7 linked regions of the Macaca mulatta genome follow. The protein of the gene in region 6 purifies or fractionates together with the protein of the main gene of each other region. This does not show direct contact. Links are inferred from orthologs where the notes say so. Each region holds a gene or a part of one and is shown on either strand. Other genes may lie near its edges.

Region 1 (3,629 bases), about 52 Mb from region 6:
TTGTAGTGAGCCAAGATTGTGCCACTGTACTCCAGCCTGGTGACAGAGCAATACTCCATATTTAAAAAAAAAAACAAAAAACTTAACAGCTGCTAATTCCCCTTGCTCAGCTGAAATCATTAAAGCAGAGGATATGGATTACCTTTTTCAGCGGAGAGTTTACTAACATCCATGGTCTTATTTAGTACTTTGATAGCTAAAGCAAGTGCTGACTTCAAGGTCATTTCTCCTTCTTTGTAGTCTTGTTTCAACATTGACACAGCTGCCTATAAAACATGAATCAACACAGAATTTTAAGTTTTTACATTTTTTAGAAACATGAATTGGTCTAGAAGAAAAATGCCTGAATTACTATTGGCATTACAAGTATAAACAATTTTTTTTTTTGACACAGGCTCACTCTGTTGCCCAGACTGGAGTGCAGTAGCATGATCTCAGCTTACTGTATCCTCAAGTCCCCCCGGCTCAGGTGCTCCTCCTCCCACCTTGGCCTCCTGGGTAGCTAGGATTATAGGCACATGCCATGGTGCCCAGCTAATTTTTGTACTTTTTGTAGAGATGGGGTTCTGCTATGTTCCCCAGGCTGGTCTCAAACTGCTGGGCTCAAGCAATTTGCCTGCCTCGGCCTGGGATTACAGGCATGAGCCACCATGCCTGGCCCATATAAATAATTTTGATGACAGGGAGGGCACACATGGCACAGGGTGAGAAGAGGTGGTACTGATGCTCTATATAGTGTGTCTTTAACCTGAGGTCCTCAGTCTCCCAATGGGTCTGTCATAGAATTCAAGGGGTCTGTAAACTAGGATGTGAAACAAAATCACAACTTCTAATTTCACAACTCCTAACTGAAAATTAGCATTTATTAATGTAGTTAACGAACCCCAGTGTATTAGCTATACCAGCAACTCTGTCCCCAACAGAAATCACAGATATTTCCATATCACATTAAGGCTGTGGCAGCTATCTTTAAATACTGTTTACATTCATCACCACGGCAAAATTATGGCATCTATTAGACGTTCTGCTAGATTTCACAGCACAACAAAAATACTCACAGCGCTATTATTTCCAATGCATGTGGCCTTCCATCCCCCGTAATTTCCACTTGGGTCACTCTGATAGAGCTGAAAGCCATAGTGCTTATCCCAACCAATGTACAGCAATGAAACACCAAATGGACGTTTTCCTTTAACAAAGAAAAAAAGCCAAATATATCAATAATCTAAATTTAGTATCACTATAGTTACTTGAGCTCAGTGAATGTAGCTAAACCTTTCTCTGTGAACTTAAGCATTCATAAACTGTTCTGTATTCTGGCTACCAGAGATAAGCTCCATTACAAATTCCACTTGTTTCTATGATTTGGACACAGCCAGGAGAGGGAACAGAGAAAGGACCAGTACTGAATTTCATTATGTAAACAGCAGTTAGTTTCCAGATCTGAAAATGTTGTTTTGGACTTTCAATATCCTATTAATAAAACTAGGGTAATCTACATGGCGGAGGAACACATTCATTCATGAAGCAAGAATGTATGAAATTCTAGTGTTTTACGCCACTGTAGGATTAATATGGTTAACTGTAACACATTAGTTTCAAATAGTTAGAAGGATATGGAAGGCTCCCAACACAAAGAAGTGTTTGAGATGATTAATGTGCCATTTACCCTGATCTGATCATTATGTGTACCGAAACATCATTATGTACCCAACGAATATGTACAATTCTTATTTGTCAATTAAAAAAATTAAATTCAATTTAAAACAAAGGGTCTATTTTCAATTTTTTACTACCTCAAAAGGGTTATAACTCATAAAATGTCTTAACTTTTTGGAATAACATTTTCAAAAAAATTAAGTACCACCAAATTGTGTATATGCTTGCTTGATATCACATAGTGCTGTAACCAACTGCTCACAAGGTATCGGCTCCTGATACTGCAATAAATACCTAGGATAAAGAGATTGGCATATTAGTAGTTTTCTCCAAAACACAGACAGACTCTAAGGAAAATATTCTCTGAAAAGCAATCCATGCCATGGGGACAACCTAACAGTCATTTGCAATTTGAAGGGGAGGGAACAAGTCAATATCCGAATATTCTCATAGTAAGTAACATTTTGTAAGTTTGGTTGAAAAAAATCTGTAATTTTCAATTCAAAGATTTTTAATGACTTTAATCTTTGCAAAAGTGAGCTCTCCTTAGAAACGTCAAAACTAGGCCAGCCGCAATGGCTCATGCCTGTAATCCCAGCACTTTGGGAGGCCGAGGTGGGTGGATCATGAGGTCAGGAGATCGAAACCATCCTGGCTAACACAGTGAAACCCCGTCTCTACTAAAAATACAAAAATTAACCGGGTGTGGTGGCACACGCCTGTAGTCCCAGCTACTTGGGAGGCTGAGGCAGGAGAATGGCATGAACCCGGGAGGTAGAGGTTGCAGTGAGCCAAGGTGGCGCCACTTCACTCCAGCCTGGGCAACAGAGTGAGACTCCATCTCAAAAAAAGAAACATCAAAACTAATTTCTGTATCATCAGTTATGCTATATATGACCATACCTTTGAGCAATGAGCCTTAGTTCATTAGTCAGAACATTAGCATCAGAAGTTATGCCTGCCACACTGCAAGCCATGTCCCTTGAAGAAAAAAAGATATTGATCTGTAAGCAGGGAAGATGCCTGCAAGGAGCATTTATAAATATTAAAAAGCACAGAATTATATTAGCAATTCACTACGTTTGCTTCACAGCAGCTACTTCCTTCAGAAGAAACCTATAAAAGTCTTATCTTTGTAGGAGACGTTTACTTGATGTCATTCAACATGAAAGATAAATAAATGCACCCTTAAGTTCGTTAATAGATGTATTTATCATTACCACCCTGTGAATAGGGTAACAGGATTAACGCCAGGAAGCTAAAGTAAATCTCAAGAAGATTTAGCAACAGAGAATACAAAGACAGGCTCGTCACAATGGCTCATGCCTGTAATTCCAGCACTTTGGGAGGCCGAAGTAGATGGAGGGTTTGAGCCCAGGAGATTAAGACTAGCCTGGGCAATGTGGCGAAATCCCATCTCAACAAAAAATACAAAAACTAACTGGGTGTGGTGGTGCGCACCTATAGTCCCAGCTACTTGGGAGGCTGAGGTGGGAGGATCACTTGAGCCTGGGAGGCAGAAGTTGCAGCGAGCCGAGATGGCGTCACTGTACTCCAGACTGGGTGACAAAGCAAGAATCTGTCTCAAAAAAAAAAAAAAAAAAAAGATTTTGCTAGACAGATTGCTCTTGAGTAGTATTCATTTCCTAAGGCCTGGCTTGATGGAGGTGACGGGGGACAGTGGCAGGAGGGTTTACAAGCCTGCTTAGGAAGTACAGGGCTAGGCTCCTACTCGAGGTGCATTTCATTTTTTTTGGACCATTTCCTGAGGGCTGCCCTGGCTCTCTTATAGCTGAGACTCACCCTGTGACTATGCCTAGCCAAGTGTGCCAGCTGTTGGGTGAGCCCAACAGAGGCTCTGTGGAGGGGTGACACCACTTTGGACAAGTGTATCCAAAGGCCCTGATAATCAGCATTTACCAAGCCTACCATCACTGAAGGGAAAGTCTCTACTTAGCATGGCCAGCTCT
Region 2 (4,595 bases), on a different chromosome or scaffold from region 6:
ATCTGACTTACCGGAGAAATGTAGTAGACAACATATCTGGATTTCAGCAAATTGTTTGGCAGAATCTTACGATATTTGTTTGAGAGGCCCACAGTAAGGTGGAAAGGGCTGCTTTGTTTTATATAAATTTAGGGGAAAGAGCTTCATCCTGGAGTCAACAGATTGGGTTTGAATCCTGGCTCTGCCCCTTCCTAGCTGTGTGTTTGGTTACTCCACCTCTCTGAGCCTTGATTTCTTCATCAGTAAAGGTAATATTCACCTCCTAGGGTTGTTGGGAGGGAGAATGAGAACTTCTAAAGTACTCGAACCTAGTGCCTGGGACACTATATTTGCAGGCAAGATGAAGGGGGGTGGGGAAGTAATAGGAAACAGACAGCCCAAATCGAGAGCCATAATAGTCTCTCTTAGTGCCAGTGCAGGCCTGTGATTCTGTTCTTAAAAACGTCTGGGGCAAGCTGCAGGAAAGATCCCAGATAGCCTATGTTCTACCATAAGCCTAAGGGAGGAGGACTCCAGGCATGGAGATTACTCATGGCACCTGCTAAGGAGAAACGCTACTGACCAGAGAGAGGTCCACTCATGTACTCGATACTTGGTGAATTCCTGTCCTGACCTCACTGCCTCTAGAAGTGTTCAGATGGAAACTGGAAGGTCTATAAGAGGCAATTTGGCAGGACACAGTGGCTCACGTCTGTAATCCAAGCATTTTGGAAGGCCAAAGTAGGAGGACCACTTAAGCCCAGGAGTTTAAGACCAGCCTAGGCAACGTAGTGAGATCCATCTCCACTAAAAATTTAAAAATTTGCCAGGTGTGGTGGTGTGCACCTGTAGTCCCAGCTACTCAGGAGAGTGAGAGAATCAGTGCACCCCGGAGTTCGAGGTTGCAGTGAGCCATGATCGCGCCACTGTACTCCAGGCCTGGGTGACAGAGCGAGACACTGTCTCAAAAACATAAATAAATGAAATAGGCCGTGTGCGGTGGCTCACGACTGTAATCCCAACGTTTCGGAAGGCGGAGGCCAGCGGATCACCTGAGGACATGAGTTCGAGACTAGCCTGACCAACATGGTGAAATCCCAACTCTACTAAAAATACATAAATTAGCCGGGCTTGGTGGTGGGCACTGTAATCCCAGATACTCGGGAGGCTGCGGCAGGAGAATGGTTTGAATCCAAGAGGCGGAGGTTGCAGTGAGCCAAAAGCGCCTCACTGCATTCCAGTCTGAGACTAAAAAAAAAGAGGCGATTTCCCACATCGGTGGAAATTTGAGCTGTTTAAACTCTGGATGCCTTTTTCAGTTCTAATATTCCAGATCTCCGTGGTGGATAAACACTTAATTTCCCTTCTCCTGCGCAGAGCTCCTGAGTCCTGGCCCGCTGGGAACCTATCACTTCTATAAAAGTCCGAGGTCCGGACTGTCTCTCCCGGAACCCTGAGGCTGATGAGACAAAGCGAGACAGGGGCCTGGGCCAAATGGAGTCTCCTTGCGGCCTCATGAAGGCCGCCAGAGGGCGCCCGGGACCGACCGCAAAAGCAACTTCCTTCCTCTTCCGCTAACTTCCCGGCAGCCCGCCGCTCAGGGTGGGGGCCCCGAGGGCTGGGGCCGTCGGCTTCCCCCTGGGGTTCCCCCGCTTCGGAGAAAGTCAAGCATTAGGCGCAGCCAAAGCCGAGCTGCAGCGGAAGCTCCCGGCCCAAGGTGGCGCTGGGTCAGCGGGTACCTTCTCGGCGGTCCCCTAGCCGGCCGAACTAGTGGCCTGTCGCCCCGCTGGTGGCCTGTCGCGCCTGGTGGCCTGTCGCCCCGCTCCCTACCCTGAGTGAGCCTGTCCCCTCTCAGGGGCGCGCCCGAGTCGCTCCGGGTTGGCTGCGCCAGTCCAGAGTTAAACTTTCAGCCAATGAAAAAGGGCGCGAGGCGTGACGCACGGAAACGTCATGGGAATTCCCCCCTCCGGGGGGCCGAGAAGGGGCTTTCCCGGCCCCAAGCCCTGCTGGCCGGCGAGGTGTCGCGACCGGTCCCAGGTGGGTCGGGCGCGGAGAGAAGCCGCAACCAGAGCCGCCGCCACGGTGAGTGGCTGGATTCAGACCCCTGGGTGGCCGGGACAAGAGAAGAGCGGGAGGAGGGCCTTTAGCGGACAGCGCCGGGGGCTGGAGAGCAGCAGCGGCGCGCAGGCAACGACACTCAGATCCACGTCGACATCCTTGTACAAAGACACACGGACCCGTACGTACACCTGTACCTGTGCTGGCGCACACACGGCAGCGTCCGTGCAGTCGCACTCGCACACACATGCACACGGAGACGTGCCCACCGGTGCACTGGTGCCTGCACCCACACCCTTCACGCACAAACTCAAGATACGCTCACCCGTGTCTGTACATCAAGACAGGCGCTGACACACACCCACACTGAGAAGCTCAGGACTCACCTGTCTACACACATGCTCGCTTGCACACTCATGTTGACGCCATGGACACACAACATGCACCCAAGCACTAGAGCCGAAACACACTTGTGGAGCTGTGATGGAGACACACGCTTGTATTGGGTGGGGAGCGTGCAGAGGTCTCCCTGTCGCCTGCGTGCCCAGAGCCGGTGCGGTGTGGAACCAGCTGCTGTTGCGAGGTTTGGGAAAAAGAGGAGCCGGAGGAGAAGACACTTTTCCCGCGGCCCCAGAATCGTGTTCTCGGGGCAGAACCCCGGGGCCTCCCACAGGAAAGAGCCCCCGCCTACAGGCTGTTCGAAGGGGAGGCCATCAGACAGCAGGAACGTCCCCCCAAAAGCCCCCGGGTTTATCAGCCGTGGCCTCCCTCCTGGCAGAAATTCCCAAGGTTGCTCCAGACCGGGGGAGGGGAGCGGGAGGCGGACTTGGCTCCAGACTGCCAACCTCCCCACGGCCGTGAGGGACCCTCCTGTTCCCTGCCCTGGAGGGAGGAGGGGGCTTAACCCCCACCGCGGCTCCCCTGACTCTCCTCTCCCTCTACCCGCTGAAAAGCAGCGGGAACCCGTAGACTGGCGAGGGCCTCCCGCCCCTCCCGTCGTGAGGGCGGTGCCACTGGCGTCATTTCCAGGCCCGCCCCCTCCGGCCCCGCCTCCCCTTGGTATTTTCGGGACTTTCCTAAGCTGCTCTAACTTTCCTGCCCCTTCCCCGGCCAAGCCCAACTCCGGATCTCGCTCTCCACCGGATCTCACCCGCCACACCCGGACGGGCGGCTGGAGGAGGTCGGACCGTCCCCCAAATCTGGGCCCCCATCTCCCGCCCACCCCCATTTAGATCTGACCCCCTCCCCCACGCCACTCCTCCCAACTTTAGGCGGGCGCCTAAAATTCTGGGAAGCAGAACCTGGCCGGAGCCACTAGACAGAGCCGGGCCTAGCCCAGAGACATGGAGAGTTGCTACAACCCAGTGAGTCACGCTGCCTGCCCCTGACCCGGCCGGCCGCCCCCCGTGTCTGTCCACCTGTCTGCCCGAGCCCCCTCTGCTGCCACACACCTGCATGCTCGCAGATGCTCTCAGCCTACCAGTCTGTCCATCTGTCTACAACTCTGCCTCCAAAAGGAGCTTTCTCTTGGGCCTGAGGAGGAGGGGGAGTGACCACTGAGGACTTGGAGATGGGAGGTGGGGCCGTGGGGGGCGCTGAGAGTTGGATGCCACCCCCAGTCTGTCTCCAAACCAGGGTCTGGATGGCATTATTGAATATGATGATTTCAAATTGAACTCCTCCATTATGGAACCCAAGGAGCCAGCCCCAGAGACAGGTCAGTAAGTTCACTAACCTCCTCTAGTCCTAAAGGTAGGGGGAGGGAGAGCATGTGCCTTCTGCCTGGGGGAAGGGCTGGGAGATAGTGGCTAAGCAAGGTCTCCCTGTCCCCAGCTGATGGCCCCTACCTGGTGATCGTGGAACAGCCTAAGCAGGTGAGTAAGCAAAAGGGAGGGTGTGGAATGGCTTCAGCTTTGGGGACAAATGGGGTAGTGGTAGCTGGCAGGCCATGGAGGAGCCATTGCCCAAGGAGGCCACAGGGGATTGGATGGTCACTGCTGCTGATCAGAGTGCTGTAGTTGTGGTTCAGAGCAGATACTACCAGGCACTGTGGTCACTGCTGGCCGGGGTGGTCTTCCCTGATCATAATGCTACTCTGCCCTTGGACCTTCAGAGAGGCTTCCGATTTCGATATGGCTGTGAAGGCCCCTCCCACGGAGGACTGCCCGGTGCCTCCAGTGAGAAGGGCCGAAAGACCTATCCCACTGTCAAGGTGAGCCAGGATGGTGCTGGAGGGTTGGCTAAGTGGACAGCACGCCCAAGGCCCTGACAGTCCCTGCCTCTCCTAGATTTGTAACTACGAGGGACCAGCCAAGATCGAGGTAGACCTGGTAACACACAGTGACCCACCTCGTGCTCATGCCCACAGTCTGGTGGGCAAGCAATGCTCGGAGCTGGGGATCTGCGCCGTTTCTGTGGGGCCCAAGGACATGACTGCCCAGTAGGTGCCCTCTACCCCTGGCCCCCACTGATATGCCCCTCACTCTCTGCCAGTCCTAAGCCCCAGCCCACCTCCATGAGCTTAGCATCTGACCAAGGGGAGAGAGGTAGGTTGGCCC
Region 3 (3,918 bases), on a different chromosome or scaffold from region 6:
TGTCACTTCCCGCCTCCCTATGTCACCTTACACAAATAGTGTCCCTCTGTCATCTCTTTTGGTGACACAGGACACTGTGTAAGCTCTTTAAGGACAGAAATTTGTGTCTAAGGTGTTCACAACTGTACTCTCAGCACCTATAACTGTGCGTGCCATATAATAAACACATGCCAGATATCTATTATGTAAAACTACGCAGAGGGGACAGGGGTCCCAAGAAGAAATGGGGTTTGGGGAGGCGTCGGGGTTCAGGGAGGAGGTGTGGATTCAGTCAGGGGGATGCAAGCCAGTGAAGGGGACAAGCCCAGGGAGGGGAGAAGGGCCATGGATGAGACTGGCTCCACGAAGGTTACAGGGGATCAGGGAGCAAATGAGGATCTGGTGAGGGAGGGAGACTCAGTGAGGCCGTCTCTGAGGCATGCTGGGAATGCTGCATCTCCATTGCTCAGATAAGCTGCTTCCATTGCCTGGAATGGAGGAGCCAGGGTCAAACTCCCAGCTCTCCTCTTGCTAACTATGTGGCCTTGGGTACATTAACCTCTCTGCCTCCATTCCCTCATCTGTAAAGGGTGATGATAGAAGGACCTATCTCTTTTTTTGCTTTTTAAATTTTATTTATTTATTTATTTTGAGGTGGAGTCTCACTCTGTTGCCCGAGCTGGAGTGCAGTGGCGCGATCTCAGCTCACTACAACCTCTGCCTTCCAGGTTCAAGCAATTCTCCTGCCTCAGTCTTCCGAGCAACTGGGATTACAGGCATGTGCCACCACACCTGCCTAATTTTTGTATTTTCAGTAGAGATGGGGTTTCACCATGTTGGCCAGGCTGGTCTGGAACTCCTGGCCTCAAGTGATCTGCCCGCCTCGGCCTCCCAAAGCTCTGGGATTACAGGCGTGAGCCACCGCGCCTAGCCAGGACCTAATTCTTAGAGCTGCTATGAGGATTAAATTAGTTCGTACAGCCCAGCACTGTGAATGGTGCCTGACACCTAATCAGCCCTTGATAAATGATAGTTTCTATATCATTATTATTAGTAACTCCTTGGTGTGGATTTTAAATGTCCCATTGGTGGTAGGGTGAGAGGGGTGGCTCTCAATGTCACCTCCTCTTTCTTGTGCTTGCTAAGCCTCCTCCCACATCCCACAGCACCCTTCCTTTTCCCTTGTCTCAGGTCTTAAGAGGAAAAGGGAGACAGAGAAGCAAGGGAGAAAAGTCCCATCTCCCCACACACAGGCAGGGCTGCAGATGCAAATGTATGCAATACACCCTATAGCCACCAGGTGGCAAACTCAGCCCATGCCCTAAAAAGGCTGCTGTGCCCTCAGCCAACCTCCTCTGGGAACAGTGCCTCTGGATGCAGGAACATCAGCGTTGAGGGCCCACCAGCTCTTCCAGGAGGCAGGCAGAGCACAGCCTGACCCAGGAGGGGCAGGCCTGAGACATCCGGGCCAGCTGTTTCTGGCTGCCAGCCTGGGCTCTCTGTCTGCCCAGGCTGTGCTTCTCCAGAGAATGCTTCCCCTCTCGGATGTGGGCCGAGCTCCCTGTCACTCTGCCCTGGATGGGTTCACTATCTCCACTTCCTCCTCACTTAGAAGCTGCCATTGACACACACTCAACCCCTGCTGAACTCCTCCCAAGAGGAAAACTGGAAAATGGGGATGGTCAGGAAACAGCCTGCTCACGGTTTAACACAATCTGAATTTAGGATTTTTCCAAAACAAATTAAAAAGACATGCAGTCTGGAGGGGATGAAATGAGAGGCAGGGAGATGAGGGAGGAAGCTTCCACAACGGTGCGAAGGAGAAGATGCGGCAGCCTGAACCTGGGCAGTCAAAGCCACCTCCCCCAGGAAGCCCTCCGTGACCTCCCAGCTTCCAGAGTGTCCTTCCAAGGCTGGAATGTGCGCCCCTCCTCACACACTTCCAGGTATTGTTACTTATCTCCTCTTGGACTTTGCCCATCCTGTCTCCCTCCCTCACCCAGCAGGCAGCCCACACCCTGGCATCCTACTCACCGCTTGTGGATCTTCTCCTCCAAATTCTCCGCACAGAAGGCTTTGACTTCATAGTCCACACCGCAAGCCTGTGGGGAAGGGGTCACTGACCACAGGGCCTTGGAGAAGCAGGGTCCCCAGTACACAGCCAGCCTACCTCTCATTTTACAAGCGAGGACACTGAGCCGGGCGCGGTGGCTCACGCCTGTAATCCCAGCACTTTGGGAGGCCGAGGCGGGCGGATCACAAGGTCAGGAGATCGAGACCACGGTGAAACCCCGTCTCTACTAAAAATACAAAAAATTAGCCGGGCGCGGTTGTGGGCGCCTGTAGTCCCAGCTACTCGGGAGGCTGAGGCAGGAGAATGGCGTGAACCCGGGAGGCGGAGCTTGCAGTGAGCTGAGATCCGGCCACTGCACTCCAGCCTGGGCGACAGAGCGAGACTCCGTCTCAAAAAAAAAAAAAAAAAAAAAAACAAAAAAAAAAAAAAACAAGCGAGGACACTGGACAGGAACACCAAGCTCCCACAGCCCAGCCCTCCTCGGTCTGGAAGAAGCAGGGGAACGCCCTTGTGCTCAGCCCCAGTGCTGTGCTGCCTCCTCCATCTGACATGGGACATCCCAAATCATCCAAACAGGGCTCTGCTCTTTGGACTCCTGCCTCAGTCTGGGTGGCCATCCTCATCTAGGCAGCTGCCCAGAAATAGCAACAGGTACCTGAGCGGACTGGGGGCACCCACTACTACTGTGTGCAGACCTGGCCCTGGGTGGCTTCTCCGGTATCCCTCTAATAAGACAAGGAGGCACGTGCTGTCATCTCCATCTTGCAGATGAGGAAGCTGGGCTCAAAGGTCTGCAGCTAGTGGTGTCACTTCTATCCAAGCCTCAGTTTCCCCATCTGTGACATGGGGATGATCACACCTTGATTCAAGGTTGCCAGGGGTTACGTGAGGCCAGGTGTAGGTCCTCAGAACACTTTGGTCCTGTTGCAACCAACGCCACTCAGGAGGGCCTCTGGATCCATCACTTAATGGGAGAGTGAGGCTGACCCCATACCTGCTGCCCTGTCTAAAGAGAGACTGGTTGTCCAAGGTGGGACCAGCTTAGCCTAACACTGTTCAACAGGGAGAGTGGTTCTGTGTGTCCAGCACCTCCCAGGGAGAAAGCCAGGGACCTGGGGACCTGAGAGTCCTGGAGCCAGAGAGATGGTCCCCTTGGGGTAACCTACCTTCCCTGTGTCTTCGGGCCCCGGCTGCAGTGTCACAGAGCATGGAAGGTTTGGAGGGATCTGTCAAGAAGACAGAACGAGCCATCTATCACATCCACCACTGTCCTGTCTCATGTCTTGCAGCCCAGACACGCCCATACACCTATCAGACCAAGGGCCCCAGGGGACAGGCCATGTCTACCCCATCAGACCATGCCAACCCATGCCCCGCAAGTGTCTGAGTTTTCTTTATCTAAAGAGTTTGGCCTAGCCCAGTTCTCACAGCAATGGTTTAAATAGATCTTTCTATGATGTCTACTGTAGTTGGCAGAATAATGGTCCCCCAAAGATGTCCACACCCTGATCCCCCAAACCTGGGACCTTAACGACAAAAGTGACTTTGCAGATCCAATTAAGGCCTTGAGATGGGGACAGTATCCTGGATGATTTTGGTGGGCCTGATATCATTATAAGAGTCCTTAGAAGTAGAAGCAGGAGGCAGAAATGTACGAGCCAGAGTGATGGGATGTGCAAAAGACTCAACAGCCACTGCTGGCTTTGACGATGAAGGAAGGCACCAGGATCCAAGGAAAGCGAAACTGGAAAAGGTGGACGCTCCCTGAGGGCCTCCAGAGGAGCCAGCCCTGCCATGCCTCCATTGAGGCACAGTGAGACCCGTTTTGGGACTTCTGACCTCCAGAGCTGTAGGCTCATACATCT
Region 4 (3,918 bases), on a different chromosome or scaffold from region 6:
ACCTCCAAAAATACATGGCCTAAGTTTGAAGAACTTATTTATGAAACACATTCTTTAAACAAGTACAAACAAAGCGCAGATCTATTTAAAAGGGAATATAAAACGTGGCAATGCCACCACAATGCGACATCTTCCCAAAGTCATTCATCTTCCATGTTTTCAAACATTAAAATAATTTGAAGTTTTTTCAAAAAATGTATTGTCTATGTGGATATATACTATAGATACGTATGTCCCCACTCGTTTTATAGCGAAAATCACATATACACACACCTGGTATATGTGGACATGTTAAGCATCAACCTCCAAATCTGTTTTTGGCACATGAGCTAAGAAGTATTATCTTTTGGCACATTCTTGATGTAAAACAACACAAATATCAAATTATATTTGGTTTTCTAATCCTAAGTACTTTACTATGAAAGTAGGAAAAAAGTAAGTAAAGTATGAAATGGCAAGTGCACTAAAGGTTTTCTTTTTTTGAGACAAAGTCTTGCTCTGTCACCCAGGCTGGAGTACAGTGGCACAATCTCAGCTCATTGCAACCTCTGCCTCCCAGGTTCAAGGGATTCTCCTGCCTCAGCCTCCCGAGTAGCTGGGACTATAGGCGAGCACCACCACGCCCAGCTAATTTTTGTATTTTTAGTAGAGATGGGGTTTCACCATGCTGGCCAGACTGGTCTCGAATCCCTGACCTTGTGATCTGCCCGCCTCGGCCTCCCAAAGTGCTAGGATTACAGGCTGAGCCACTGTGCCCGGCCCTAAAGTATCTTCTAAAAGACAGGTAGCACGCGTTGGTTCCTGATTGCTGAGAGTGTGCGAGCGAATGAATGCCCCTGAAGACTCCTTCCTCTCTTCTCCCTCTTTCCTTGCATAATCGACAGCAACAAGTAATGACCCATGACTGTCAGCCACTGCTCGCCCAGCCAAGACCTCAGTCAATGAAAAGAGAAACAAACAAAAAATGCCACATGCCCGTTTCAGGGGGGCCCACAGACAACAGTGCTTCCAGGGCCTTGAACAGAGACGCAAGGGAATGAGTGTGTTGCTAATGTCTTCTACTGGGCCCGCTCTTGGCTGCCTTAACATGGCAGACACACCCTAGGCAAAGCCTCCGCCTTGTCAAAAACTGGACACTGAAATTCCAGGTACTATAGTCGAACACATGGATTCTTCTACGAATATTTAGGGATAAATGAAACAAAATTTCAATTATATAGTAAGAAACATTCAACTTGATAAAGACCTCTGGAGCCAGCGTAACAATACTATGCATTTTAACAATTTTAAGTCAGAGTAGATTTATGAAAAGTTTAAATTAATGAGCAGCTTGAGCCTGCAGAACAACCCATTCTGAAGTTTCTTAATACTTAAACATAGACTTGTAGTTGTTCTCAGAAGTTTATTGGTGAAACCTTCTCAGAGACTAAATTATGCCATTACTTGTGAAGCCCACTCTGTACAAAAGTGGAAGTAGAGGCCGGGCGCGGTGGCTCAAGCCTGTAATCCCAGCACTTTGGGAGGCCGAGGCGGGCGGATCACGAGGTCAGGAGATCGAGACCATCCTGGCTAACACGGTGAAACCCTGTCTCTACTAAAAATACAAAAAGAAATTAGCTGGGCGTGGTGGCGGGCGCCTGTAGTCCCAGCTACTCCGGAGGCTGAGGCAGGAGAATGGCGTGAACCTGGGAGGCAGAGCTTGCAGTGAGCCGAGATCGCGCCACTGCACTCCAGTCTGGGCGACAGAGCGAGACTCTGTCTCAAAAAAAAAAAAAAAAAAAAAAAAAAAAAAAGTGGAAGTAGAAAGAGCCTGGAGTTTTTTTTTCTTTTTACTTTAAAAAATTTATAGAGATGGGGTCTTGCTGTGTTGTCCAGGCTTGTCTCAAACTTCTAGCCTCAAGCGATTCTCTGGCCTCAGCCTCCCAAAGTGTTAGGATTACCAGCATGAGCCACCACATCAGCCAAGCCTGAACTTTAAGAGAAAAGACTTTAACTGAAATTTTGGCTCAGCTACAGATAAGCTAGGATTCAGAGAAATTCACTTCAATTAACCCAAGCCTCAGTTTTCTCACCTACAAAATGGAAATATTCTTAGTTACACAGTTATAAACTAGGTTATACTCAATATCGTTGTAAGCACTGTTGTTAATGTGACTGCTTTGTCAAAGGTGGAGAGCTGTTATAATTAAATGCACGCAACTCCAGCGTTTTAAGTCACTACCTGAACACTTGATGTGTGTCCGGCAGGAGCCGTGCCAAACACTTAACTAAATACGTTATTTAACTTTCACATCAATTCCCAAGTATAAGCACTAACATCCCATGAATGGAGGAGAAAACTGAGGCTCACAATCATTAAATAACTTGTTCCCCAGCCAGAAAGAATTGGAATTTGGCTCCTCTGATTCTTACAACTCCATGCTTTAAACTTGCCACTATTTCACCAGAAGCTGAATTCTAGATTCTGCTGCTGAGTCAACTGCTAATGATTTCTATAATTTACCTTATGCTCATTTAGAACAGAAACATTTTAAGACACAAACGTGATCTTACCTGCAAAGTATATCTGTTTTTGAAGCAGTTAGTTACCAATTCTCCTTTAGACAACTGATATAACCACGTCAATTTTCGGCCACTGTGGCGGCTGGCGTAGAAAGCTGTGAATCGCTGATAACTACGTTCCAACTAGATAAAAGGACAGCATTATATGGAATACAGATCTCACCACGTCCTACAGGCAGTGTTTCTAAGCAAAGCACACTGTTCCAAGCCTACAGTACAAAGTCAGTGCTTATATAAAAGTAAAATACGAACGCCAGGTGTCTGCCTCTCTTGCAAAGCGCTTTAAGCACTGGAAGGTACGATCTTAAAAAAGGTTCATACTTCAAGACCAGCATCGTCAAGGTGTTCATTACACAACGAATTAGGCTCTAATTACAATAAAGAAACGTGTGTGTGTAGAGTTGGGCCAGCCAGCCCACCTTTAGACATCCAGACCTGCCCCACCGCACAGGGCTCTTCCCTGAGTGCTGCCTCACGGTTCACTGTGACGCAGCCAGCCGGCAGGAAGGCCGTCTGCAGGCCTATCCCCTTCCACAGCGAAGGCTGCCCCGCCCCACCCTCCACCTAGCACTAAGGGGACGGCAGATAAACCCATCCTTACCTCTGACGGCAAGGCGAACGTACAAGACTGCTGGAAGGGCCAGGACCCGGAGCTCAGCACTTGAATGCTGAAGTCCACTGGGGGGCGGAAGAGAGGGGAGAGTGAACATTCTGGAATACATTAATTTGTTTATAAATTGAAAAATTCAATCATTTCAGATGAATGTAGGTTGCTCTTTATTAAAAAGCACATTAAATAAAAATCCTGCTTGAATATAAAATTAAGAATTGAACATTTTATTCAATTAAAATTAGCAAAAAGCGCAAGAGCCAGATATTCTTTTCTTCCAAAGAGTGACAGTCTTCATTTCGCTTCCACCTCGGAATTCTGCTGTCACATGCCTGCCCTGCTTCCCTTGCTTTCCTTTTCAGTCCTGAATCACTGAGTCCACTCAAGCCACGCCTGGGCTCGCCAGGCCCGGCATCATCACAGCCCCAGACTCATGGAAACTTACAAGCAGGAGAAAACTGCTAACTTCACTACAGTATGTGTTTCAGTTATTACTGTGAAAAGACACACATGGTCTATAAATTATAACACTAATTTCATCTTCACAGATAGTTACAAAGCCCACTGGCAAAACTGTCCAGGTTTACAATGGAATCGTTATCCTGATTTGGGAAAAATAAAACTCTCCATTTTTCCTTTAAAAAGACAAAGATGATCAAAAGATGACGTAAGCATAAATCTGCCATTCTACTACTATGCGAGACCTTAACATACCAGCCCAGCTGCCTCTCCTGGAGAACCGAATC
Region 5 (4,601 bases), on a different chromosome or scaffold from region 6:
AGTCTGCCAATTCAGTGAGGGCATGGTTTAGTATCTTACTATAATCCTGGGAGACTAGCAGATCCTGTCACTTTATAACAGTTCATCTGCTAATCAACAAACAGGAGACATATATTTTGATACACACAAAAGGTCATGACCATTATTAGGTCTCAGGACACTTACCTCCGCACAGCAAGCCCTCCTAGGAGTTTGTAACGCAGAGACTCTGCCTGGGCAATGGCACACAGACCTCTAGTGGCCACCTTTTCAGCATAAAGCTTTAAAGGAAGGAAGGGACATCCTGTTACCATCACCACTGTTTTCAACTGAAAGTTGAAAATTTGGCATGTCACACAAGCATCACTTTCTAGACCAAGCTTGCCCAACCCAGAGGTCGCATGCTGCCCAGGAGATGGCTTTGATTGTGGCCCAACAAAAATTGAACATCGTGATTTTTTGCACTACCAGTAGTGTGGCCCAAGATAATTCTTCCAACGTGGCCTACGGAGGCCAAAAGACTGCACAACACCATCACAAACAGCATATAATTTCAGTATCCCTCAATTCCTAAAGCACTTCTACCACCTACACACAGTGCAGGTTCCTTGCCCTCCCACCCTGGCTCCTTTGGCCATACCAACTACACCAATGGGGACAGTCAATCCATCATATGCATCATTTCTATACCCAAGTTGAATGTAAAATCCTTTAACTATCAACCATTAGCAGAACAGGCTTACAAAGTTAAGCCCATTATTCATTAAGAGAATTTCAACAAAGTTGTATCAGTCCATTTGTAATGAACAAAGTCTCCCAGTTTTTAGAAGTTATCATTCTGAAGAGCCATTATCTCTGGCATACGCCAGAATCACTCACCTCTACACTGCCCTCTGGAAAGCCAAACCTCTTCTGAACTACAGCAGTCAGTTCCCGAATCCGCCGGCCCTTCTCACCAAGAACATTCTGTGTTCTGGGCGGGGAAAAAGTGACAATTCATGACTCTCACAAATGCTAGATTTAACTTTAAATCTTGCAATATATATGTGGTAGCAAAATCTCTGCCACAAAGCATATAATTTTCATTGACAAAAACTAAAGTTAAATTTTCAAAATGCAGCTTTTTTTGAGACAGGGTCTCTCTCTGTCACCCAGGCTGGATCACACCAATGGCTCACTGCAGCCTGGACCTCTTGGGCTCAAGCCATCGCCTGCTTCAGCCTCTGGAATAGCTGGGACCACAGGTGTGCACCACCACAACCTTATCTTTTTTAGAGAGGGGGTTTCCGCATGTTGCCCAGGCTGGTCTTGAACTCCTGAGCTCAAGCGATCCTATGCCTGGCCTTAAAATCCAGCTTTTAAGAAGCAATTACATTCACTAAGCCCAGACTCACTGGCTGTCTATCCCCTTAAGTTCACAAAGGACAAACCAGCCAGGCGCGGTGGCTCATGCCTGTAATCCCAGCACTTTGGGAGGCTGAGGTGGGCGGATCCCGAGGTCAGGAGATTGAGACCATCCTGGCTAACACAGTGAAACCCCGAATCTACTAAAAATACAAAAAATTAGCCGGGCATGGTGGTTGGCCCCTGTAGTCCCAGCTACTCAGGAGGCTGAGGCAGGAGAATGGCAGGAAGCTGGGAGGCGGAGCTTGCAGTGAGCAGAGATCTCACCACTGCACTCCAGCCTTCGGGACAGAGCAAGACTCTGTCTCACACACACAAAAAAAGGAATAAACCAACTTAGCATTTACAACAATTATAGGTGATGGCCAGTCAAGTGAGTTTTACCTGGTGGCTAAGATAATGATTTCTGTCCTGGTTGGTGTAACTCGCACCTCAACTCCAGAGTAGCCATCTTCAGCCAGCTCCCGAGTAAGAAACTCATTCAGTTCAGCTTTGAAGATGCCATCAGCGACAAACTAATCCAAAAAAAGCGAAGTTCAAAATTAGGACATCGGTGTAGGCTCACTTTCGCCTGAGCCAGTGTCTTATTAGTCAATGCATCCCTCCCCAAAACTAAATACCTCCAACCAATGGTTCCAAACCCTTGTTCCAACAGGAGTGCAGCAACCCTTCTCAGACAAATGCCTCTAGGTCATCTTTAGGAAGTTACTTCAACCAGGGCCCTTTAAACTGTGCCACAGAATGCAGCACAGAGTAGGCAACCTGGGCGAAGGCAACACCCCCAAGTCAGACTCGTCATCATCTCTTCATCGAAGGGTTTAAAACAGTTCCACATGCAAAACAAGAAACTGCTCTAAAATAGCCTATTTACACCTCACTCAGCACAGCAAAGACACTGTACTTGTCACTGTGAAGGAACAGAATAGATAGTGGACTTAACATAAGCTCTCTCACTTGCAGACACAACCTGGACCGTCTAAAGAATCCCAGCCATGTTATCTGGCCTTACGGTACCTGTGGTTTTAACTGTAAACAGAGCTGGAAAATCCTAACTCACAAGAGTTGTGGATTTAATTTTAACATCGAAGTGTAGGTATACGAAATGACAAACTGTCTATTTTTAAAGCTAATGATTTTTACACAGTTCTTTCCCATGGAATAACAAAGCGTTAAATCCGAGGCAGCTTCCTCCCGGGGTCCTCAGACGGAGCAAGCAATCGTCAGTAACCCTTCATGTTGAGGTCGTGGGACCAGCAGACTGTACCCAGACTCGACCAGTAAGAAGACAAGTATACACTGCTGCCTCCCCTTCCCAAAACCATGGGATAAGACATGAGGGAAATGACACACGCCCTCAAAATACCACGTTTACTAATTCCATTGACCAAAAAATGCTCACAAACGCCTTCTCCGGGACAGAAGGGGCGCCTGGTCCCCATCTCTCTGCGCTTCACTCGGAACCAGAGAAAAACCTGTCTCTCCCTTACCCGGCCACACAGCGCCCGCCTGGCTCGGGCCTCTCACTCAATCCACCGCCATCCGCGGCCCGTGGGAATGCCAGGAAGCCTAAGCCGCTTCCCAGGGCAGGGCACGGAGCTGCAGGCCTCGCGGTGGCACCCGAGAAGCCCCTGACCCTCGCGGCGCAGTCGTTCCCCGAACCCAGTCCCCAGAGGCTCACCTTCCTCTTCTTGGAAATTTGCACGGCCATCTTGCCGCCGCGCTCCGCCGAAAGAAAAAGAAGTGGCGGGCGGGCGGAAGTGAGTATAAAGGGCGCGAGCGACGGCGGAGGGCTGCGCTACGTGGACGCCTATGGGTGCTCATGGGAAATGTAGTTTTTACGTAAAGAAGGCGTCAAGGGAAGGAAGAGTGTAGGCAGGAACAGTAAAGGGGGTTCGACCAGCAGGACTGCTAGACTTCAGAGGATCTTAGAGTTCAATTCTCTTTTTTTTTTTTTTTTGAGACGGAGTCTTGCTCTGTCGCCCAGGCTGGAGTGCAGTGGCCGGATCTCAGCTCACTGCAAGCTCCGCCTCCCGGGTTTACGCCATTCTCCTGCCTCAGCCTTCGGAGTAGCTGGGACTACAGGCGCCCGCCACCTCTCCCGGCTAGTTTTTTGTATTTTTTAATAGAGACAGGGTTTCACCGTGTTAGCCAGGATGGTCTCGATTTCTCGACCTCGTGATCCGCTTGTCTCGGCCTCCCAAAGTGCTGGGATTACAGGCTTGAGCCACCGCGCCCGGCCGCGAGTTCAATTCTCATAGTTTAAAAACAAGCAATGCGAGGTGCAGAGGTGGAAATTACAGGTATAAGTTCACACAGCAACAGAGTTTAACCAGCGTGGAACTCTGGCCCCTACACTTTCAGGGTGGATATTGTAATGAAAATCTGCTGAAATCCCTCAGTGAAATTCATTTAAGACTCCTCTTTGGGAGGCCAAGGCGGGCGGATTACTTGAGGTCAGGAGTTAAAGACTAGCCTGGCGAACATGGTGAAACCCCGTCTCTACTAAAAATAGAAAAAGTAGCTGGGCGTGGTGGCAGGCACCTGTAATCCCAGCTACTCAGGAGGCTGAGGTGGGAGGATTGCTTGGACCCGGGAGGTGGAGGTTGCAGTGGGCGGAGATCCCACCACTGCACTCTAGCCTGGGCGACAGAGTGAGGCTCTGTCTCAAAAAAAAAAAAAAAAAAAAAAAAAAAAAGAATGTCCCCAGTCTGTGCCCATTTCCTCCATTCCAAATGATAATAAAACCTGATATTTACTAAGTGTCCTAGGGACTGTGTTCTGTGCCCTTTATGTTGTTTTCATTTACTCCACCTTACTTTCATCAAGTCCATTACAATTTGTAACAGAAGTCCCAGAGAGTGGCTCGTGTGCCCGCCCACCCTCCCTCTCTTCCTTCCTTCCTTCCCTCCTTCCTTCCCTCCTTCCCTCCTTTCTCTCTCTTTCTCTCCTTTCTTTCTTTTCTCTCCCGTTGCCCAAGCTGGAGCGCAGTAGTACGATCTCAGCTCCCTGCAACCTCCACCTCCCAGGTTCAAGCGATTCTTCTGCCTTGGCCTCCTGAGTAGCTGGGATTACAGGTGCACACCACCAAACCCGGCTAATTTTTGTATTTTTAGTAGAAATGAAGTTTCACCACGTTGGCCAGGCTGGTCTTGAACTCCTGACCTCAAGTGATCCACCTGCCTCACCCTCCCAGAGTGCTGGGATTACAGGCATGAGCC
Region 6 (4,441 bases):
ACAGGTATTAACTTTTCACCCCACATCACTGAAAGGTCTAACACTCCTGGCTGTTACATGCCACAGGATACCACGGGGTCAGTCACTCGAAGCACAATAAATATAAAATGTGGTCCTTCCATGAATTTTTGCTAATGTCCAAAACCCCACAGAGGTGAGGTTTAAAAGAAGTTTTCTTGGAATTTCAATGATCTTTCTTGTCCTCTACAAAAAGTTCACAAAAGCAACACAATGAGGGCTGATCCCACTACAATAAAACGTTTTGGGCCAGGCAGTGTGCAGTGTGGCTATAAGTACACCCTTTAAATTTTTTTTCTTTTTTCTTTTTTTAGAAAAATAAAACTTTTTTTTGTACAAATATACAAGTCCATGTTCTTTCAGCCCCTTTGCGCTCATAATGTCAGACGCTGGCCTCCAAACACACAGTCGTCATAGGGCAGCTGAAAACAAGGGGAAAGAAGACACATTAAACTTCCGAAGCTCTGCCAAGCCACTGGGATGGGGAGGCCGCTACTGGAAATAACCCTTGGACTCCATTCTCCATAGCCCAAATACAATGAACTTTACAGGCTGAGGGAGTTTGCCTTTAACTCCCATTTTAAAAATGTTTTAAAAAATGCTTTTCTTTAAAAAAGGGTAAGCTATTTTAAAAAAAAAAAAAGGTACATTATTGGGATACTGGTTATGCACAGAAATTTGAGAGACTCATTATGTAGATACCCCTCTGATAAGGAGCAGTTCTAGGGGCCCGGGAGGGTGAAGGGAATGGTCCCTCATTAGTTAGAGAGCCCAAGGAGTTCACAGACTCACCTCATCCTCCGTGAACTCCGTGAACTCTGACTCTGTGTCATAGCTCTCCTCATCCTCACTCTCCGGCAGCATCTGAAGGTTTTCCAGTGTCAGCTGGCCCAGCTGCTGCTGTATCCGGGTGCTTGGGCGGCCCCAGGTGAGCTGGTAGGGAGAATAGCCCTGGTAGGTAACTCTGTTGACATCAGCCCCACACTTCAACAGGAGCGACACCAGGTCAGGATTCTGCAGGTCCACTGCGAGGTGAAGGGCAGTCCGGCCGTTACAGGGCTCCTGAAACCAAAAGGAATTTGAGATGCTTATGGCTGCGTTTGGAATTTCTGCTCACAACATGAGCACGGGGAACTTGACTCAGTGCATCGGAGGCAGGAAGCACTAACCTGAGCATTGACATCAGCACCCAAGGACACCAAAAGCTCCACAATGCCCAGGTAGCCATGGATAGAGGCTAAGTGCAGACACGTGTGGCCTGGAAGAACAAAACGAAAAAAGTATAACCACCTGTTTCAACCCTCACTCCTTTCACCTATTCTTTTATGGGACAAATAGTCATATCTTCTGAATTTTAAGAACCCACCGTCTGGGTTCTGAAGGAACTTTATAAAGGCATCCAACAGGCACTTTGCACACGTATTTTCTCAACCTTTCAAATGCTGGCAGTTTAAGTTCTTGCCTCGACTCCTTAAGTTGGCCCACCTGCCCCTTCTCCACATCACCTGCCACCTGAGGGGGTGGGGCAGGGCAGGGAGGCAGACATACCATTGTAGTTAGTAGCCTTCAGGATGGAGTGGAGGTGCGGGGTGGTGCAGGACTGAGTCAGGACTCCCACGCTGGCCAAGCAGCCCTGCTCACAGGCAAGGTGTAGGGGGGTATTTCCTCGAAAGTCTCGGAGCTCAGGATCACAGCCAGCTCCCAGAAGTGCCTCAGCAATTTCTGGCTGGTTGGTGATCACAGCCAAGTGGAGTGGAGTCTACGAATGCAGGAGAGACCAGAGAAAGTAAGCCAGGGACCAAACCCACACCCTGAGTTCCCCTGAACCCGTGTCTCCTGGTTGGGTGCTGCTCCTCCTGGACAGGCGGGTGGGGAGGACTGGCAAATAGCAGAGACTCCAGGTGGGTCACAAAGACCTCACCAAATCAGTGGAATTTCCTTCACTCTCTAGGATGTGGGCTGACGTGAAGTAAAAGGTGAGGGTGAATAATGCCCAGTGGCCCTGAATTCAGAAAGGATCTGGGGTGACTTTGCTACATCAGTTCCATCCCAGAGTTAGAGAGCCCGGGCCAGGCAAGCGGCGCACCTGCTGCAGGTTGTTCTGGAAGTTGAGGAAGGCCAGGTCTCCCTTCACCTGGCGGATCACTTCCATGGTCAGTGCCTTTTCTTCATGGATGATGGCCAAGTGCAGAAACCTGTGGGGAAGAGAGGGAAAAACCCCAGGGGTGGTGAGTGCACCGCGTGGGGCCCAGGGAGGCGCGGGCTGCGGGGGATTGCGCAAGGCCGGGGTTTCTGGAGGCCGAGGCCGCGGTGTTTTCCGCGAGGTTATTATGAGCTGAGTGTTCCTGGCAGGCGCCCAGGGACTTTCCGCCCCCCTCCCCCCGCGGCCCCGGCGGGCGCCGGCCAGACCGCCCCGCCCTCCCGCCAGCTCGGAACGCCCTGTACTTCCCCTCCCGGCTGCTCGGCGCCCGCCAGCGGCCAGAAACGCCTTATGCAACCGGGGACTTCGCGTCCCAGCTGCCGCCCCGCCCCCGGCCTAGAGGACAGGCCTGGGGGGAGGGGGCGTGTGGCGACGCTGCCGTCCACCAGGGCCCAGCCGCCGCCCCTCCGAGTCGGGCCGGTGCCCCGCGCGGCCCTGCAGCCCTGCAGCGTTCGGGGCGGTGCAGGAGCCCCGGGGCGCCGCGGCGCCAGCCCGGCTGCATCGCTAGTTCCCCAGGTCGGGCTCCAGGCCCGGCGTCTCCCACTCCCCGGCCGCGCGCATCCGGCCCTCCCGAGGACCCCCGGCTCCGGGTCTGCGCCACTTACGAGTCCCCGTCCTCGGTGAGCTGCTGCTTCCAGGGCTCCGCGCCGCGCGGCACCTCCTGCGGCTCGAGGCGGATCTCCTGCAGCTCCTTGACCATCTGCTCGTACTCCTCATCCTTCATGGAGTCCAGGCCGCTGTCGTGGCGGTCGTCCAGCAGTCGTTCCTTCTTCAGCCCGTCGCGGGGACCCTCCATGGCCCACTCCTGGGGGCGCTCGGCCGCCTGGAACATGGCGCGGGCGAGCTGCGGGCGCTGCTGCGGGTGCGCTGGGCCGCGGGCTGCGCGCTGCTTCCTCGCTAGGGCGCTGGCGGGCGGGACGGCGGCACGGGCTGGTGTGGGCTCTGCAGCGCCGCCGCGGCGCCCTATAAACGCTGGCTGGGGATTTCTCTGGGGCGGGGTCAGGCGCGGGGAATTTCCAAGCCAGTCAGACCAGAAAAGAGAACTGGCTTCGTCCTTTGCTAGGGGGAAAAAGAAGCCTAAACCCTGAGCTGGGGTTCGTCGGAGAAACTCCCTGCGATGAGCCACTGGGGTCACGGACAGGGAACTTTTTGATGAGTGCCAAGTGGCTGGAAAGTCCTTCCGACCAGGCCCCCTTCCCCGCGGTACTTCCCTGCAGCCTGCACCCTGTAATCCTGTCTCTCTGCAAGTGAACCTTCTTTCCCTGGGGTTTCCCACGATCGATTTGAATTGGGGTCGTCGGCTGCTGAGATCCCAAGGACGCCGACATGATGGGCGGTCCCTCTTTGGGGTTTGCCAACCTGCCGGTCCTTTCCGTTTTTTGATCTTTTGAAAACGCAAGAGTGGAAATGATGGCTGGGCGTAGGGATTTTCTTTCCCCAGACTTCTAAGGGGAAGGACGCACTGTGGTTATGGGGCTGCAGGCCGCTCTTGTGTTTCTGCTAATATCAGGCTCATTGCAGAACGGGGACGTTTAGCTTCGCGCCCTTCCTCCCCTACCCCCCACGCACCTCTGCCAGGTAGAACTGTGAAAGCTTTGGAGGAGTGGAAAGCCTAAATCTTTGGAAAACTCTCAAATCACTTCCAATCACTTCCTAGGGATGAACAGCCTTGTTGAGTGGGGGAGGGGCAAACTCTCCCTGTATGGGGAAACTGCTGAATAGGACCATGATTTTTTTTTTTCCCCCCAAGTAAAGCAAGGTGTTAATCTTTGTAGTGGTGGTTGTGGATACCTTGCAATAACAGAGTAGCTATTGTGTTCATAAGTAGCTGTTGCATTCATGCTATCTGACCTACATTGTGCTGCCGCAGAGAATGGATCCTGAGCCTACTTCTGGGCATCTAAACTGAGCAATTCGAGGAGCACTTAGAGAAGGAGGCTGAAGAATGAGTTTAGTTAGTGCCTTAACCGCGATTGGACCTTAAGGACCGCTAAGAAAGTAGTTGCCAGTCATCCTGCAGGAGGCTCAAGGCAGCCCCATCCTCCCATCCTGCCCCCCCCCCGCCTTGCTCCCTCGTCCTGGGGGATAGTAGCAGTTGGACCCATTCATGCCACCCAGGTAGAAAGGGGTTTTGGCTCACTATGCTCTGGTTTCACCTGCAGAAATGTAATTTATGCTCTCCATCCCACCTCCACCTCCAAGCCTGCAAGCCATGGACTGAAT
Region 7 (4,526 bases), on a different chromosome or scaffold from region 6:
CCACCAACTGGTGAATACACAAACATAACATGATTTATTCAGATAATGGAATAGTATTAGCAATAAGAAAGAGCAAAATGCTGATACATACTGCAATATAAATAAACCTCAAAATATTATGCTAAATTAAAGATGCCAGATGCAAAAGACTACATGTTGTATAATTCAGTTCATATTGAAATGTCCAGAGAAGCCAATTCTATACAGACAGAAAACAGATTGGTTGCCAGGAGGTGGAGGTAGAAGCAGATATTGACTGTAAACAGGCATGAGAAATGTTTTTGATGTGATGGGGAAGTTCTAAAACGAATTTGCTCATGGTACAAAGAATCTTCTCTCCAAGCTCAAATTTTTACACTGCCTCTCATAAGTAAATAATAAAGGGAATTTCCTTTGCCACTCATACACTTAATTATCTCTGTGACTCCTGAAATGATGGGCATAAAAGGGGCACTGCCAGGCCAAAGGAACCATTTAATGTCACCACACAGAAGAAAGCCTAGAGACTGGGAAGGGAAGGAAAATCAGCCTCTGTGTTTTTCCCCTAATCTCATATGTAGGTGCTCCATCCCAAGTCTTACCTGCAGCATCTCTATTGATGACCCCCTCAACCTCCGCTGGAGATCTGAGATGAGCTTGCTGGCATCCTGCCTCTGCTGGACCAGCTGGTCTCTAGCTGCTGCCAGGTTATCCAGCACATTCACCTCACCTTCCTCCAGCTTTTGCAGCTCTCTCTGCTCCTCACTGTCCAAGATGACTCTCATTTCATTGAACCCTTTCAGAATCTTCTGTCTCTCGAGCTGGATATAATTCTTGAATGAGAAGAGAAGAGAAAGAGGCAGTCAGTCTGGCTGGTTGAAGGCCTGCTTTGTATGAGCCTGGGAGCCAGGATAAGAACTGTTTTCCTCAGGGAGTTCTCAAAAGGAATACGAGGCAAAAGCCAATACACAATTTCTGGTGAAGCCATGCTTTTCTATTTTTTAACCGGAACTCCTTCCAAAGCAATACACTCAAGTCTTTTATTGAGGCCTAATCTGAGACAAAATGTGATGCTTGGGTGAGGCTTGGATTATAGACACCTGTCCTGAACAACCTTGCCTTTCTCTCTCTTAAATCCCTTTACCTGGTCGGGCACAGTGGTTCACGCCTGTAATCCCAGCACTTTGGGATGCAGAGGTGGGCGGATCATGAGGTCAGGAGATCAAGACCATCCTGGCTAGCATGGTGAAACCCCATCTCTACTGAAAATACAAAAAATTAGCCGGGTATGGTGGCACGTGCCTGTAGTCCCAGCTACTTGGGAGGCTGAGGCAGGAGAATCGCTTGACCTGGGAAGGCAGAGGTTGCAGTGAGCCGAGATCACTCCACTGCACTCCAGCCTAGATGACAAATCGAGACTCTTGTCTAAAAAAAAAAAAAAAAAAATTCCCCTACCCAAACCACCTAAACAGGGAATCCTGGGTCTTTCCTCAGGTTGTTTACTGGAAGGATTGGAGCCTCAAACTTGATGACACAAATGGAACACAGGATTCACAGGAAGCATTTTCACAGGTATTTCCCTCCATGCCTTCACTTCCAAATATTGTGTTGATTTATGATATGTCTGCTCTCCAGCCCCCAAACTCCAACAGGGAAGGAATTAAATGAGACCTAATCATATGACTTCTATAACTGTTAATTCTAGCACAGCAAAGGGGAAGTGGTCTCCTTGTGATAGAGCCCAAGGTCCTGCCCAGATTCCTGTCTAATTATCCCTTAGGAGGTGTCTCCTCCTGCCTTCCAGACGGTTCTCTCTTGTCTGACGTCATCTTCCAGCTTCTCAGCTTCTTGATCCTCCTTTGTCAGCTTCTGCAGGGCTGCCTGCAGCTTTTCCTGTGAGAAAGAAATTATACCAGAGTAAAGTTATGAGTTTTCTCAGCACCTGGATAGAGGATAGCAAGGAAGAAATTGGATGGCTCTCAGAAGGGACTAGTTTACAGAAACAGTGAGGCTGGTGATTAGAACCTATGGCATGGGGGAAAATCTGAGGAGATGAACGTATTCTTTATTACTGGATGATGGAAGTTACCATCCCCTTATCAAGAGTAGCCTGATTCTTTTCCTAGAGAAAAAGCAGACCCTGCATTAAGGAAAGACTTCCTTTCATTGCCACTTTTGCCACATCTAACAAGACATGTTCTCAAAAACACCTTTCTTCTCGGAGTGGCAATTAAAGCTTATCTTACAAAGCAATTCTCCATTCATTCAACTTTTCCTTGCTAAAAAATGTACTCTTTTAAATAAAAGCAATGTGCAGCACTGTCCTTCAGGCTTCAGAAACTAAGTAAAGAGTTTGGAAAGAGATCACAGGGCTCTCAGTTCTATGGTGAAAAGGGGAATAAAGCAGGACAAAAAACGTGGAGATTTCACATCAGGTACCATTTCTGCTCTCTGCTTTCTCTTCCTCTACCTTGGAGCCTACCTGACATTCCTTGACCACCTCGTTTATGCGGAATGTTTGGTGACCTTGGTGTTCCTGAGACAGTTCACAAACCCAGCAAATGACTTTTCCATCTTCCTTACAGAAGATCTGGAGTTTTTTTCCATGGTGCTCACAGATGTCTCTCTTCTGCCCCTCCTGTGGGCTCATCTTGACCTCCTTGACTCTCTCAACTATGTTGGCCAGATGCCGATTAGGTCGGAGCTTCCCAGGCTGGAATCTGCTCTGACACACAGGACAGCTGCTTTCTCCTCTTGAGATGGTCACTGACTCCTTGATCTTTGCAGTGATGCAGGCTTGGCAGAAGCTGTGGCCACAATCCAGGCTCAGAGGTTCTGTTAGGAGCTCCAGGCAGATGGGGCAGGTCACCTCCTTCTCTATGTCTACCTTTACTGAGAAATCCATTGCACTGCTCCCTTGGCTTCTTTCTGTCTTGACTCTTGAACCTCTTGGTCAGAAAATCCTGCAGTGCTGGAAATGTTGAAGGGGACATGGTAAGAAAAGCGGGAATAGAAAGAATACTGCTTTTACAGAGATTTAGAACAGGACCAAAAATTAATATTTAACAGAGAAAGGAGAAAAGAAAGGCAAGAAGAATAAACCAATGACAGAATAAAATGGACTTTGTAGTAATTTGAAACAGTTTATTCTTAATTTTTGTCTCAGGACAAATTTCACCCCATCAAGGCAATTATTGTTATTTTCTCTTCTACTGGAGAGGACAAACTGAAGCTTTTCTACCAAGAGGTTCGTGTAACCCATCATTTATCCTGCCTTTTGTTCCCCAACCCAAAACACATTTTCCATGTTAAATGCACTAAGCACACCGCTGCCCCTGGGCTTTCGCACATGCTTTTCTCTCTGGATGACGTGATTGTATCTCTAATATTTGCATGATTCACTAATACTTGTGTATTTTTAAGCTACTGAGTTGTATTTACATAGCATCATACACTCTCATTTTTAAGTGTATAATGTGATAATTTCTACTAAATTTGTGGAACTATATGACTGTTACTGTAACACAATTTAAAATTATTTTTACCACCTGAAAAAAAAAAAAAAAAACCCTAATGCCGTTACTCCTATTCTGATCCCAAGCTCCAGACAATCACTAATATCCTTTGGGTTTTTAATCAATTGATAAAAATAGAATCATAATATATGGTCTTTGGTATCTGAATTATTTTATTTATACTGTTAAGGTTTATCTCCTCTGCTTTTTCCACATGTAAAAAACACCTCCTCAATTAAACTATCAAATCTATGACTCCTCAAGGCTTTTGCACTTGCTCCTCTCTCTCCATAAAATGATCCTTCCCCTGATGTTAGCAAGAGTCATTCTTAAATTTAATTCAATCTCTTAGATGTCCTCTTCTTAGAAGGACATACTATAACTTACTTATAGCAAAACCACCAGTAATATCACTCACTGCACATTTATTTTCTTATTTTTACTATGTAATATATAAGATTGTTCTTTAAATGTCTACTTCTTCCTCCTGAAAAGTAATCCATTCATAGACATGGGACTGTTTTTGTTCACTGATATGTCCTCTATACATAGAAGAGCGAATCACATACAGGAATAAAATGTTGAACGAATATTTAAAGCTACAACTTTCTTATCCCTCCATAGATGATTAGACCTTTGAATCAGATTTTCATCTTTTCTTTCCATCAATTAGCAGTTTCCCAATAGCTGAGCTTTGGGACCATGATTATGGTTTCCAGTGAAGAAGAGTTCACATCCTAACACATCTACCCATAGCAAGTCCTCCCATGACCTCACACTCACTCCCCAAAGACATACACACACACCCACACACCACTGCAACCACCACCACCGCCACCATCACAATAAGAAAATAATTTTATCATGAAGAATTTTATAACCAGTTACAATTTGGAAATAATTTTGACTTCTTTATTCTTCATACAAAACCCTTGAGAAAGAAGAATACTCCCTTTCTTCAGGTGTGTCAATAGAATTAAGTAACTTACAAAGATCACTCATTCTAATCTAATCGGTAGAGTAAGAGTGAAT

What was found.
Region 1: the proteins of NFKBIA (region 6) and PSMA4 purify together in Homo sapiens (affinity purification with western blotting; 3 studies listed by BioGRID and IntAct, with this or other methods). This does not show direct contact. The link is inferred for Macaca mulatta from reciprocal best matches to the Homo sapiens genes NFKBIA and PSMA4.
Region 2: the proteins of NFKBIA (region 6) and NFKB2 purify together in Homo sapiens (affinity purification with mass spectrometry; 6 studies listed by BioGRID and IntAct, counting the BioPlex papers as one, with this or other methods). This does not show direct contact. The link is inferred for Macaca mulatta from reciprocal best matches to the Homo sapiens genes NFKBIA and NFKB2.
Region 3: the proteins of NFKBIA (region 6) and ARRB1 purify together in Homo sapiens (affinity purification with western blotting; 3 studies listed by BioGRID and IntAct, with this or other methods). This does not show direct contact. The link is inferred for Macaca mulatta from reciprocal best matches to the Homo sapiens genes NFKBIA and ARRB1.
Region 4: the proteins of NFKBIA (region 6) and CUL1 purify together in Homo sapiens (affinity purification with western blotting; 8 studies listed by BioGRID and IntAct, with this or other methods). This does not show direct contact. The link is inferred for Macaca mulatta from reciprocal best matches to the Homo sapiens genes NFKBIA and CUL1.
Region 5: the proteins of NFKBIA (region 6) and RPS3 purify together in Homo sapiens (affinity purification with western blotting; 4 studies listed by BioGRID and IntAct, with this or other methods). This does not show direct contact. The link is inferred for Macaca mulatta from reciprocal best matches to the Homo sapiens genes NFKBIA and RPS3.
Region 7: the proteins of NFKBIA (region 6) and TRIM22 purify together in Homo sapiens (affinity purification with western blotting; 3 studies listed by BioGRID). This does not show direct contact. The link is inferred for Macaca mulatta from reciprocal best matches to the Homo sapiens genes NFKBIA and TRIM22.

The regions. Positions count from the first base shown.
Region 1 is NC_133412.1:56,691,398-56,695,026, reverse strand, and holds part of PSMA4 (proteasome subunit alpha type-4), read right to left. Parts: intron 2,641-3,629; coding exon 2,563-2,640; intron 1,954-2,562; coding exon 1,865-1,953; intron 1,190-1,864; coding exon 1,059-1,189; intron 267-1,058; coding exon 143-266; intron 1-142. UniProt on the Homo sapiens protein: Component of the 20S core proteasome complex involved in the proteolytic degradation of most intracellular proteins. This complex plays numerous essential roles within the cell by associating with different regulatory particles.
Region 2 is NC_133414.1:114,505,551-114,510,145, forward strand, and holds the start of NFKB2 (nuclear factor NF-kappa-B p100 subunit), read left to right. Parts: upstream 1-1,552; 5' UTR 1,553-2,061; exon of another isoform or gene 2,062-2,218; intron 2,219-3,070; exon of another isoform or gene 3,071-3,308; 5' UTR 3,309-3,380; coding exon 3,381-3,401; intron 3,402-3,672; coding exon 3,673-3,754; intron 3,755-3,870; coding exon 3,871-3,911; intron 3,912-4,150; coding exon 4,151-4,249; intron 4,250-4,325; coding exon 4,326-4,477; intron 4,478-4,595. UniProt on the Homo sapiens protein: NF-kappa-B is a pleiotropic transcription factor present in almost all cell types and is the endpoint of a series of signal transduction events that are initiated by a vast array of stimuli related to many biological processes such as inflammation, immunity, differentiation, cell growth, tumorigenesis and apoptosis.
Region 3 is NC_133419.1:75,669,994-75,673,911, forward strand, and holds part of ARRB1 (beta-arrestin-1), read right to left. Parts: intron 3,280-3,918; coding exon 3,220-3,279; intron 2,082-3,219; coding exon 2,014-2,081; intron 1-2,013. UniProt on the Homo sapiens protein: Functions in regulating agonist-mediated G-protein coupled receptor (GPCR) signaling by mediating both receptor desensitization and resensitization processes.
Region 4 is NC_133408.1:188,608,741-188,612,658, reverse strand, and holds part of CUL1 (cullin-1), read right to left. Parts: intron 3,241-3,918; coding exon 3,164-3,240; intron 2,686-3,163; coding exon 2,554-2,685; intron 1-2,553. UniProt on the Homo sapiens protein: Core component of multiple cullin-RING-based SCF (SKP1-CUL1-F-box protein) E3 ubiquitin-protein ligase complexes, which mediate the ubiquitination of proteins involved in cell cycle progression, signal transduction and transcription.
Region 5 is NC_133419.1:75,815,440-75,820,040, reverse strand, and holds the start of RPS3 (small ribosomal subunit protein uS3), read right to left. Parts: upstream 3,122-4,601; 5' UTR 3,092-3,121; coding exon 3,062-3,091; intron 2,199-3,061; exon of another isoform or gene 2,051-2,198; intron 1,899-2,050; coding exon 1,768-1,898; intron 953-1,767; coding exon 859-952; intron 309-858; coding exon of another isoform or gene 261-308; coding exon 166-260; intron 1-165. UniProt on the Homo sapiens protein: Component of the small ribosomal subunit. The ribosome is a large ribonucleoprotein complex responsible for the synthesis of proteins in the cell. Has endonuclease activity and plays a role in repair of damaged DNA.
Region 6 is NC_133412.1:108,520,249-108,524,689, forward strand, and holds the start of NFKBIA (NF-kappa-B inhibitor alpha), read right to left. Parts: upstream 3,141-4,441; 5' UTR 3,051-3,140; coding exon 2,824-3,050; intron 2,214-2,823; coding exon 2,105-2,213; intron 1,778-2,104; coding exon 1,567-1,777; intron 1,277-1,566; coding exon 1,188-1,276; intron 1,081-1,187; coding exon 811-1,080; intron 441-810; coding exon 393-440; 3' UTR 1-392. UniProt on the Homo sapiens protein: Inhibits the activity of dimeric NF-kappa-B/REL complexes by trapping REL (RELA/p65 and NFKB1/p50) dimers in the cytoplasm by masking their nuclear localization signals.
Region 7 is NC_133419.1:69,875,101-69,879,626, forward strand, and holds the start of TRIM22 (E3 ubiquitin-protein ligase TRIM22), read right to left. Parts: upstream 2,885-4,526; coding exon 2,462-2,884; intron 1,873-2,461; coding exon 1,777-1,872; intron 813-1,776; coding exon 582-812; intron 1-581. UniProt on the Homo sapiens protein: Interferon-induced E3 ubiquitin ligase that plays important roles in innate and adaptive immunity.